2 linked regions of the Arabidopsis thaliana genome follow. The protein of the gene in region 2 purifies or fractionates together with the protein of the main gene of each other region. This does not show direct contact. Each region holds a gene or a part of one and is shown on either strand. Other genes may lie near its edges. The genes, in order: MCM3 and RFC2.

What was found.
Region 1: the proteins of RFC2 (region 2) and MCM3 fractionate together in Arabidopsis thaliana (co-fractionation; one large-scale study listed by BioGRID). This does not show direct contact.

The regions. Positions count from the first base shown.
Region 1 is NC_003076.8:18,769,075-18,775,625, forward strand, and holds MCM3 (Minichromosome maintenance (MCM2/3/5) family protein), read right to left. Parts: upstream 4,630-6,551; 5' UTR 4,533-4,629; coding exon 4,470-4,532; intron 4,375-4,469; coding exon 4,274-4,374; intron 4,086-4,273; coding exon 3,877-4,085; intron 3,778-3,876; coding exon 3,647-3,777; intron 3,555-3,646; coding exon 3,316-3,554; intron 3,242-3,315; coding exon 3,005-3,241; intron 2,904-3,004; coding exon 2,749-2,903; intron 2,636-2,748; coding exon 2,427-2,635; intron 2,343-2,426; coding exon 2,183-2,342; intron 2,097-2,182; coding exon 1,900-2,096; coding exon of another isoform or gene 1,888-1,899; exon of another isoform or gene 1,817-1,887; coding exon 1,757-1,816; exon of another isoform or gene 1,670-1,756; coding exon 1,580-1,669; coding exon of another isoform or gene 1,568-1,579; exon of another isoform or gene 1,488-1,567; coding exon 1,285-1,487; coding exon of another isoform or gene 1,281-1,284; exon of another isoform or gene 1,195-1,280; coding exon 975-1,194; intron 885-974; coding exon 828-884; 3' UTR 575-827; downstream 1-574. Other genes in the region: AT5G46270 (Disease resistance protein (TIR-NBS-LRR class) family), read right to left, coding at 5-16; KASI (3-ketoacyl-acyl carrier protein synthase I), read right to left, coding at 5,365-5,432, 5,515-5,581, 5,653-5,802, 5,902-6,015, 6,125-6,298.
Region 2 is NC_003070.9:23,421,042-23,425,772, forward strand, and holds RFC2 (replication factor C 2), read right to left. Parts: upstream 2,874-4,731; 5' UTR 2,731-2,873; coding exon 2,569-2,730; intron 2,295-2,568; coding exon 2,188-2,294; intron 2,097-2,187; coding exon 1,995-2,096; intron 1,898-1,994; coding exon 1,702-1,897; intron 1,612-1,701; coding exon 1,483-1,611; intron 1,403-1,482; coding exon 1,208-1,402; intron 1,138-1,207; coding exon 1,027-1,137; 3' UTR 793-1,026; downstream 1-792. Other genes in the region: AT1G63150 (Tetratricopeptide repeat (TPR)-like superfamily protein), read left to right, coding at 1-247; AT1G63170 (Zinc finger, C3HC4 type (RING finger) family protein), read left to right, coding at 4,533-4,731. UniProt on the Arabidopsis thaliana protein: May be involved in DNA replication and thus regulate cell proliferation.

The sequences.
Region 1 (6,551 bases), on a different chromosome or scaffold from region 2:
TTACATTACTACACATACGTCTCACTTTATGATTACTTTAAGAATTTAGAATTCTTAGAGTGGAGACAAGTTTCTCTTGCTCATGGCCTTAACATTTCTGAGAAGCTCTGGTCTGAATCAGAGACATGTATGGCCTAACTACGTAAGTTTATTTAGTAACTCAATTGTTTTGACTAGGGTTGATAGAGAAACGTGTGCAGTAACCTACCAAAATAGATTTTGTTATTTGGCAACAAAAAAAAAAATAGATTTTGTTGTATTACTCTGTATACCAAAACTGATTTCAATCCGTCTTTGTGGAATTTAACCTGATTATATGTACAATTTTAGAAACGTATAGGATCCATCATGGACAAAGCAAACATGTTTTGGAAAAAAAAAAAAAAAGTAATAGAGACCAAATGGAAAAACATGGATCTTTTAGACGAGAGAGTTCCAAGGTAGTGATTATTAGGGTTTTGAAGTTGGCTTATATATGGCACAACTCTATTCTTACCATTGGGTTAAAACAACATATACACTATAATCTTGATGTCGATTACATATGTATAAAATTTGGCATAAACAGCTCAAGAAATTATAGGATAAATATGAAAGTATTTTATTCTCGGATTGTGCTTTTCGTTATAAATTCCAAATTTTATAATCAGATGCGTTTTTTTAAGCATTTTATCATCAGTTTTACTTCACTAGTAAATGCAAAAAACATAACGTATGAATAAAGATTTTACAAAATGATATTTTGGTTTCCAAGAGTTTACTACTACACTATTTTTGAGTTCTAATATGATGATGATGATGCAATCAATATTGATTTCTTCATATGATCAAATGATATGAACTTTGCCATCGCTGATCATCACTTTGTTATCATCTTGCAGTTTCTGCATAAAATCCACAATAGAGTAAAGTTATGAAGATATTGTATAAAAAGTTAAAGAATGAGAAAGCTTGTCTCTTAATTTGTGAATTACCTCTAAGAGAGCCATAATCTCATCTGCAGAGTAACGAGATGCTCCAACCCCATTGTTGTTGACAACAGTCTCTATATCTGCAATAGAGATGTCATCGAGCCTGTGTGTCCTCATGTGCTGCCCAAACACTCGCTCAAAGGTTTCAATCCTTGCTGCAGAGACCGTGCCGCTGAATTGCTCTACAGAAGGTTCATCTACTTCCATTGGATCTGCTGTTTCACTGAATGGACCAGCAAAAGAGAAAGAAAAAAGTATAAGGGTTGAGAAAGCTGTGATATAGGTTTCCATGGAGGAGATCAAATTAGTTTACCTGTCGACATTTGCAGTGTCATTCTCTGCTCCATCTTCATTATTCCTGCGTTGGTTGCCTCTACGTCCACTTGGTGTTCTTTCTTGTTCAGCTTGTTCCCTTTGACGTTCTTCTTGCTCACGATCATCCATCTCAGTTAATTCTTGATGATATATTGCAAAGTTCATAAGCTTCAAGGCAGCCTCTGCATCAGCTTTAGTAACCTTTCAAAATAAAGTTATCACTTTAGAAAGAATCTGAATAGAACATATTCACGACCAGGTGGGGAAACAGAAGATTTGAGTTAGATTGTTACCTCGCTACTCAACTTCATTTTGGCATGTGCCGTAGCAAGACGAATTATTGTCTCTAGAGTTCTGGCTGTTATCGGAAGCGTACCTCCAGTCTGCAGAGATTTCGATGGTTGTGTCAAATACAAGTTCCCAAGACGAAAAAGATACAGTGTCCAATGTTATTTTATGAAATAAATTACCTTAGTATCGGAACCTGCATTTCTGAGATCTGCATATGCTTCTGCAATACGTTCCGATGCCTGCAAATTTAATAACAAAAGAGATTTAGTGGAAGAGATTATCAGATACATAAAAATTTATATATTTGAGTTCACTGTCTCACTTCATCAGTGAGCTTTGGTGTAATACGGTGCTTGGCGTAATGAATGTACTTCTTCAAGAACTTAATCGTAAGGGTTTTATCATGTGTTTGGCCTCTTTTCTTCTTCCCATGTAGTGTTTGGTTATACTTAACAAACATTTCACTCTCAGCATTGTCTTCTCTCGCGTAAGGCAAGCTCCCATCTGGCCCTGCCTCACCTATGGTTCACTCAAAAGTCAGATGCGTTTCAAGACATGGGTTGTGAAATGTTTAGTAAAACATAGAAGCATGATTTGTTTCCTACCTCTATCGTTCTTGTAACGATGCATGCGCAAGACATGTTCTGAAATCATGCTGTCGATACCAGCATCCATTTGATCCAACACAATAAACAGTAGATCAAAACGAGAAAGCAGCGAATCTGGAAGTCCAATGTTCTTTGTTGGAGTCAGTGATCTGTCATACTGCAGGAGCAAGAGTAGGTATTAGGACAAAAAAATACTAGTCAGTAGAGTAAGTAGATTAGGAAAACTTCGGTGAGAACTTACAGTTCCGTATATGGGATTTGCAGCTGCAACCACACTGCATCTAGCATTCAGTGATGCATGGATACCGGCTTTTGCAATTGTTACAGTCTGTTGCTCCATCACTTCGTGTATAGCAACTCGGTCCTGATCATTCATCTTATCAAACTCGTCAATGCACACGATACCTTTATCAGCGAGGACCATTGCACCAGCTTCTAGTCTTCGTTCCCCTGATGAAAATGAGAATTTGATTTTAATGAGAAATAGCACTTTTGACCTTCCTTCAAATTTTGATTTTAGCATTTGATAAAAAAATGTGGAAACGCTTTTGTGTGCTTTTTACCTGTTTCTTGGTCAGAAGTCACAGCAGCAGTTAACCCAACACCGGAAGAACCACGGCCTGTGGTTGATATAGCCAAAGGTGCAATATTCATTATCGCTCTCAGAAGTTGAGATTTGGCAACAGATGGATCACCAACCATCATCATGTTGATGTCTCTGAAAGCACAAGATTTGTTTTCAAGTGAAGAAAGAAAAATGAGTTAGACAAAAAGTATCCAATGAGTCGAATCTGAAATCTGTTTTCAAGCAAGACTTACCCCCTCAAGTGGGTTCCGTTCTTCAGGTTCTTTTCAACACCACCAAGCATCAGTAAAACTACTGCTTTCTTTATCCAAGCGTGCCCATAAATAGAAGGTGCTAAGGAACGAGCAAGGAGATCAAATGCATCATCTCTTCGTGCAATATTTTTAATGTTATCTAGGTCTTGCTTAGTGTATATAGGTGCATTTGCTTCTTTATTGAGCAGAGCGATATTATTGGCTATGAGGATAGTCCTACACAGAAAGAACTCGGTCAAGACTATCAGAGTGAAAACATCTTGAACTAACAGATGTGTAAGAAAACGCACCTAAAGACTCCATTTACACTACCCTTGCTTTTTCCAGGAAGAGCTTTGTAAATACCGAAAACAGATACTCGATCTCCTGGCTTGCATGAGTCAACAAGGTCATCCTCAGCAATGACATCAACGCTTCGTGGAAGCTGACCAGGAGCAGCATTTTCAGGCACTTCTTGAATTGACAAGGTCTGGTGATCTTTGTATTTGCACAGCCCATACTCAGTCACCAATAAGTTTCCCTTATCATCCTGAACAAAAAAAAACTCAATCTTCAGTAAGAGGCAAATCTTCCAGCAGTACAGGTAAATGAACAAAACGAAAACAAAAAACATGTAATTACCCTTGTGGGATAGACAGAGCCAGTGGGTAAACCAGCGTGAGATGTTATGTCTCGATAATCTCGATTGGTAAATTCACCGGTTGATGGACAAAAGTGAACGCTTTTAACAACCTTTGGCCTCACAAGAGAGCCTGAAAGCAAAGCATGTGTCAGAGGTTCAAAATCTTCTACGTAAAACACAAAGGAAACAGAAGAAAAGCAGAGGAATAGAGTGAAAATGATGAGCTTACATTTGGTGACAATGCCCTCAACACAGACCATAGATCCAATAAAATCAGAGAGAAGCTCTCTAGGAGTAACAACGCGAGAAACAAAATAACCTTCAAAACCAACAAGGACAAGCTCTCCTTCCTTCAAGTATTTAGGGTCAATAGCACGAGTAGCTTCAGTGGCTGCGTCACAAAATGACTGCATATACTCATTTGGATTCTTCAGTATCCTATCCAAAAAAACCAAAGCAATCAACTTTAAGGTCACAAAACATATGACAATTGTAGTGAATCCTTAAAAATCCCCAAATTAACCTCACTGAATCTAACAAAACCCTAAAATCTGCCGTAAATTCATAACCTTATACTAAAGAACCGATTAAAAATTCGAGGAAGACAAATTGAGAAGATGACGAACCTAGAGGCAACTTCCCTGAAGTGGTGGTGAATGTCAGAGATATTAATAATGAGACGGTGACGCTTTTGATGTACCAAAGCCTTGATTTCCTCCATATACATCTACACAATCCGTAAAAAAAATCCAATTTTTCAAATTAGATAAGAACAGAAGCTCGAGAAATGTCTGGTGAGAAAAGTGATAGAAATCGACTTACACTATCGAGGAACTGGATAAAATCTCGCTTGTGGCGAAGCCTCGTCTCCTCTGGCACATCCATTTCTTAACAAAATCTGGGTTCTTCGTAAGAACTTTTCTTCTTCTACTTAAAAAAAAAAAACTGATTAGAGATTTTCGATTTCCGATTTCGAGAGGCATAAAGGGCGGATCTTCTCCTTATGGCGGGATTTCGTGAGATAACCTGTACCCTTTTTGGCGGGAAGGGTCATTTTGGGCCGATATTAGTTGGGCCTTTCGTCTACGTGCTTTTTGATTAACCAAATTTGGGCCGGTACAATTTTGGACTTACGTCTACGCGCTTGTTTGGCGCGTTTGATTTCCTCAAGGCGGTATAATACACCCAGATTCTAAACCAAAAACCAGACATACCAAATCAATTCATTGTAAATTCGGTTTAACTTTTGCTACTGCCTTCAAGCCAGTAAACCGAAAAATGTATATATGAAAACCAAAATAAACCTGTGTGATTTGAGAACATTTTCGGATGTATCACAACATATGTATAACTGAAAAAAAATTCAGTATAAATCTAATTTCTTCGAATGTAAAAACACGACAAGAATTGTTGAGAAATAAAAGATGAGAATCCCCTAATTGGATTATTCTGACAATAACACCGTTACTACAAGATTCTCTCAGTTTCTGTTTTTATAAATTACGCAAATATGGAACGAACTAAGATACACAACATTCCGCAGACAAGAGAGAGAACAAACAAAATCTGAAATCTCAGCAACCGTAAGAAACGGGGAATGAAAGAACCGCAAAAGGCCAGAGGAAGAGCTCCAACTTGTGAACCAAGAAGCTGCAAGTGGTGGTGATGGATGATGATAGTAACCGATAGGGCAGAGAATCTAAAAGGTATGAAGAAATCAGGGTTTGAAGGCAGAGAAGGCGACTACCGAGTTGTGTCCACCGAACCCGAACGAGTTTGATATGGCTGCAGCAAAACAGAAAGACATTAATCAGTGAAACTGTTGCCAGTTTAATCCAATGAGAAGGCGGTCATGTTTGTCACTTACCAACATCAACCTCGTGTTGCTTCTTCTCGTTTGGGACCGTGTCAAAGTCCACAGCTTGTTCTGGGTTCTACAATGAGAAAACAAAGAGTGTGAGAGTCTAATACAATGACCAAGTTCAAATCTTGCAACAGTTCAAACTGAAAGCGGAATCAAAGAAGCCTTTTCTTGACTTCCTGTTATACGTACAAATTGGTTGATGGAAGGATGCAGCCATCCAGTGTTGATAGCCTTCACGGTGGCGATGGCTTCTAGACCTCCAGCTGCACCGAGGCAGTGACCTATCATAGACTGTAACAGAAACTGTCATTCACAGGAAATGCAAAGCAAACAAATACATTGAAATAGAGGAGAAGAAGAACACTCAATCATAGAGCATTGGGGACGAACCTTGGTGGCGTTGATTTTGATCCCTGAAGTGCTCTTGAATACCTTTTTAATGGCATTAATCTCAGCAAGATCACCAGCAAGAGTGGAAGTTGCATGTGCATTGATGTAATTTACCTGAAAAACGTGGAATGAATATAAGTAGGGAAGTAACACGAATCTAATGAAGAAATTTGTTTCAGATAGCCTTAAAACTTAGGAAGCATGAAAAGTTTGTGTTTTTTACCTCCTCAGGTGATACACCAGCATCTTCCAGGCATCTTTCAATGCATGAAGAAACCCCAAGACCATCAGCTCTTGGATCAGTCATATGGTGAGCATCACAATTAACAGCACCTCCAAGATATTCTGCTACAATTGGAGCACCACGTTTCATTGCATGTTCCAAGCTTTCCATCACCTATTAGGGCATACAACAATTAGTGGGTCTCTCCAAAACAAAATGTCACATGTATGAGCCAATCTCATGGTGAGATAAACCAACTTTGAAAATGTAGTACAATTCAAGTGCAAGGAAACTTCCAGAGCTAATAGACTAGGGAACACAAGTTTCATCAGATTCTATAAACTAAGACCAAAACAGGCTCTTATATACAATTCAAAACAGAGCAAGCCAAATGTATGTAGATTCATAGTATCAATGAGAGATTAAG
Region 2 (4,731 bases):
ACGCCTACTACAGGAAGCAGATGACCTGTTCAGAAAAATGAAAGAAGATGGTACTCTTCCAAATAGTGGTACATATAATACGCTTATCAGAGCAAACCTTAGAGATTGTGACAGAGCCGCATCAGCAGAACTCATCAAAGAAATGAGGAGTTCTGGGTTTGTTGGAGATGCTTCAACCATTAGCTTGGTGACAAATATGTTGCATGATGGGAGATTGGACAAAAGCTTTCTCAATATGCTTTCTTAAAACAGTTTGTCCTCGAGGTAGGAGGAGTCTGAGGTGAATCATGTTGCTTTACTCTGATATTTTTCGCAACAGAGTCCTTATGTTACATGGTGTGTATTTAGTTGTTATCGTGTCTGTAAGCTTCATGAAGATGACTCTGATACGTTGTTTTGTGTATTTCAATGTTAGGTTAACACACACGAGCTACAGAAGAAGATTTCAGACGTGTCATCATTATGGTTACTGTAGTAGATTTGGTTTTTAACCAAACGTATTTTATAGTTTTGGTTCAATAAATATAACTTTATTTCGTTTCTTGTTCCCAGTTCTTTTTTCTTTTTTTTGGTCACAAGTGTGTTTATTCATAATATAAAGTCAATGTAACAGACCAAGAGTTTACACCATTTCACAATGTCATGCCTTACTCATATAGTGTTATCGAATTACACAAATAGGTTCAACATTTTACCTACAAAAATTACGATTCATCTCTCGCACTTGCGTAGACTATATAGAGTGGTTGTAATGTGTAAAATAATCTGTGTATTGTTTTTTTCATTTATGTGATTTAAACAAATAGCATGGTATTATATAAAAAAATGTGTTGGTATACCAAACTGGTTAGGATTAAGCTTAATATTCAGAAACATTCACAAGCAATTCAAATCTAGAAAACAGAGCAATACAGCATGGAAGTTCCAACATCTATCCGAATTCTCAAACAACGAGATTTAACCAACTTGGTTTAAACATAGACCGGCCACCAGTTCATCACTAGAGATGAGTGGAAGTTACCTAACTTAAGGTGCTTTCGCTGTTTCACGAACAATGGATAACTTAGCCAGAAGACCACATAGCTGAAGATAAGATCCAACTCCATCACAGATTCTCATATGCGCAAATCCAGTTTCCTGAAGAAAAGCATTGGTGTTAGACGAAAGTTTGGATGTTTTGAGCTGTCAAGGAGAATCAGATGTATACCTTCATGAACTCAAGTTTCAGATACTCAGCCATATCGTAATTCTTTATTATACGGAAAAGCGTTGTGATAATGTCGGTTGGAGAGTAGCCCAAATCATAGAGCTGCTTTAAGCCGTCACAGGCGATGTCAAACTTACTTTCCAACACATTGCGAACAATGTTCTTGACATGAAGCGGGTGAGGCTGGTCACAGACCTAAGTGAAGAGATCTTTGATTGATGATATGAAACCAATGTGTTTTATAAGCCAAAGTGAATTAAGGTTTTGTTTCAAACCTTGAAGACGTTTTCTTGGTTGACAAACGAAAACCCGCTGAATGTGGCTTGCAAGTTGTTCAGAGCTTGCCTCATGTCACCATCAGCTGTAAAGATTATCGCCTCAAGGCCTTCAGGCACATACGGAACCTTGAGAGATTGAAAACATAAGCAATTAGAAAATTTTCAAAATTGCAGTAAGTAAACATGTCGAATGAAAGAAAAGTGGCAAATCCGTACTTTCTCTGCTGCAACCACCACCAAGAGACGGCCTAGTATCTGCTGATCAGATAATCTAGAGAATCGAACTAAGGCACATCTACTCTGAATGGGCTCAATAATCTTGGCTGATGTATTACAAGCAAGTGCAAACCGCGTAGAGTTCGAATAGATTTCAATCGTTCTCCTCAATGCTTGTTGTGCTCCAGATGTCATACTAGTTTTTTAGAAACCGAAAACAGAAAGTCAGAAAAAAAAACACTTAACTGGAACAATTCAACTTGAGAAGGAATACTCAAGTAAAAGTCACTAACCTGTCAGCTTCATCTAGGATAACAACCTTATGACGCCCTGGAGGAAGTGTTACTTTCTTCTGCGCAAACATCTTAATTTTGTTCCTTACAACATCAATACCCCTACAAACATAACAGAACATTGAAGATGTCTAACCAAACAACGATTGAAGATAGAACAACATCCCATAGGTAAAAGATTGGCATCACATACCTATCATCAGATGCATTCAACTCCAGAACAGCCTCCTTGTAATTCGTGCCAAGGAGCTCATGAGCAAGAGCCAAAATGCTTGTGGTTTTACCTGTTCCAGGAGGACCCTAAGGATATACAACCAAACAACACAAAATCATATATCAAATCTCCACAAGTAATACTAAACACAGAGATTTTCTAAAAATCAAACCTTCATTAACTTTGGCAGACAATAGAAATTGATTAAAAACCCTCAAAATCTAAGCTTTATCATGAAATCTACACAGTAAACAAACCCAAAATGCCCTAATTGATCAAGTTTTCATCAAACCTAAAACTTTTTAGCAAATTCGAGGAGGGTTTAAATCAAAGAGTGTCAACAGAAGAGTAAAATCTTACGGAAAGGATAAGATTAGGCATGTTGCCGTCGCGAGCAATGACTTGAAGTCTGGAGACGGCGTCTTCGTTTCCAACGATATCGACTACTTTGCTCGGCCTGTATTTCTCCACCCATGGTTCATTGTATCCGTCACCGGTAGAGGTTGATGAAGAAGACGCCATTATCAGTCGGAAGAGAAGGAATCTCCGACCGGTGAGATTTGGAGGGTTTTCTGGTTTGGAGGGAAAATTGCTGGAGGATCCGATTAAGGGTTTTACTTTTATACAATCATTTCATTAAAGGGCCTATAAAAAGAAAACATCCGAATTCTGTACCCAAAGTATATTAATTTCACTATATAGCCCCGCCTTTTAAAACTCGTTGTTACATTTATGCCCAGTTCGGTTCGATAAATTTAAAATTGGTCTATTTTATTATAAATAGATGGGAAAAAAAACCAAAACAAACCTCAATTAATTTTTATTTGGACGTTTAATACTCAATTGTTTTTGGTTGGAAAGTAAATACACGAAATAATAAAATCATACAATTTAATACACAAATAATTAATTGTTGTTATTTTCATACTCACGATCTCACAACAAAAATAAAATTCCAATTTTACTCTTACCATCTCAATTAACTATTATTTTTTGATAATATAATATTAATTATATAATTTTAAATAAAAATTAATTTTATTAACATTTTAGTTTATGGTCTCTAAAATTTAAATTTTCATTTTTATTATTATTATATTATTCTAAAATTTAACATAAAAATTATAGAAAATCAAAAATATTTTAAAATAGTCATTATTACAATCTTCTTCTATCGTTGCAATATCAAAGAATCGTTTTCTCTTTAAGGAAATTTAGAATCAAAGATTAATCTAATTCGTTGAGATTTGGGTTGAGGTTAGCTATTTTGCTACTAAAAACAAAATTAGCCATTTTTATGAATTGATAAATCTTGAGAAATACGATGAGATTCGGGTTGAGATTTTGTCGAAAATAGTTTGATTCTTGAAGGATATACAATCGAAAAGAGAGTTTCTCACTACGAAGAATATTTACCGGCCATTTTAAAATATTTTTAATTTTCTATAATTTTTATGTTAAATTTTAGAATAATATAATAATAATAAAAATTAGAGACCATAAACTAAAATGTTAATAAAATTATTTTTTATTCAAAATTATAAAATTTAATATTATATTATAAAAAAATTAATAATTAATTGAGATGGTAAGGGTAAAATTGGAATTTTATTTTTGTTGTGAGATCGTGAGTATGAAAATAACAACAATTACTTGTTTGTGTATTAAATTGCACGGTTTTATTACTTCGTGTATTTACCTTCCAACCAAAAACAATTGGGTATTAAACGTCCAAATAAAAATTAGTTGAGTTTTTTTTTGGGTTTGTTCCCTAAATAGATGTCGTATAAACTATAATTTTTTCGATTAAAAATTTTCAATTTGGATTTGAGTTTAATTTAGATTTATTCCGGTTTTCGATTAAAAATTATGCTTAAAATTTTTCGAATTTTTGTTAATTTTTTACTCAGTTGGACAAAAGAATAAATTTCGGTTTAATATGGTTTGGTTCAGTTTCTTACCCACCCTTAATTTGAATCAAGTTAGTGTAAGTTTACCATATAGCCACTGAAAAAACTGAATATTACATATATGTCCCCTAATTTCTCTGGTTGTCATTTGAGGAGACATTAAATTCATTACAATTTTGATTTTTTATATTCATTTTTCAAACATCACGTTTCCCGATTTGTCCGACTCATCATCTTCTTTCTCTTTCTGTCTCTCTCTCTCTCTGTTCGAATCGAAACCCTAACAAATCCGAAATTGTCTCTGAGATTGAAATTGCCCCAATTTAATGGCGTAAAGCTTCACCAATTTCATCAATTCGATATCAATTTTTGAAATTTCGAAGAAAGGAAGAAACTTTGAAAAGAGAAAGCAAAATGTCAAGAGAGACGACGACGGAAGCAACGCCTTTGATTTTAACCGACGGAGGAGGAGGAAGGAGATCGGTGAGAAGACAAGGGTTAAGAGAAGCGGCGAGGTTACTAAGACATGCAAGTAGCGGGAGAATGATGATGAGAGAGCCATCGATGCTTGTTCGTGAAGCTGCGGCTGAGCAGCTTGAAGAGAGACAAAGCG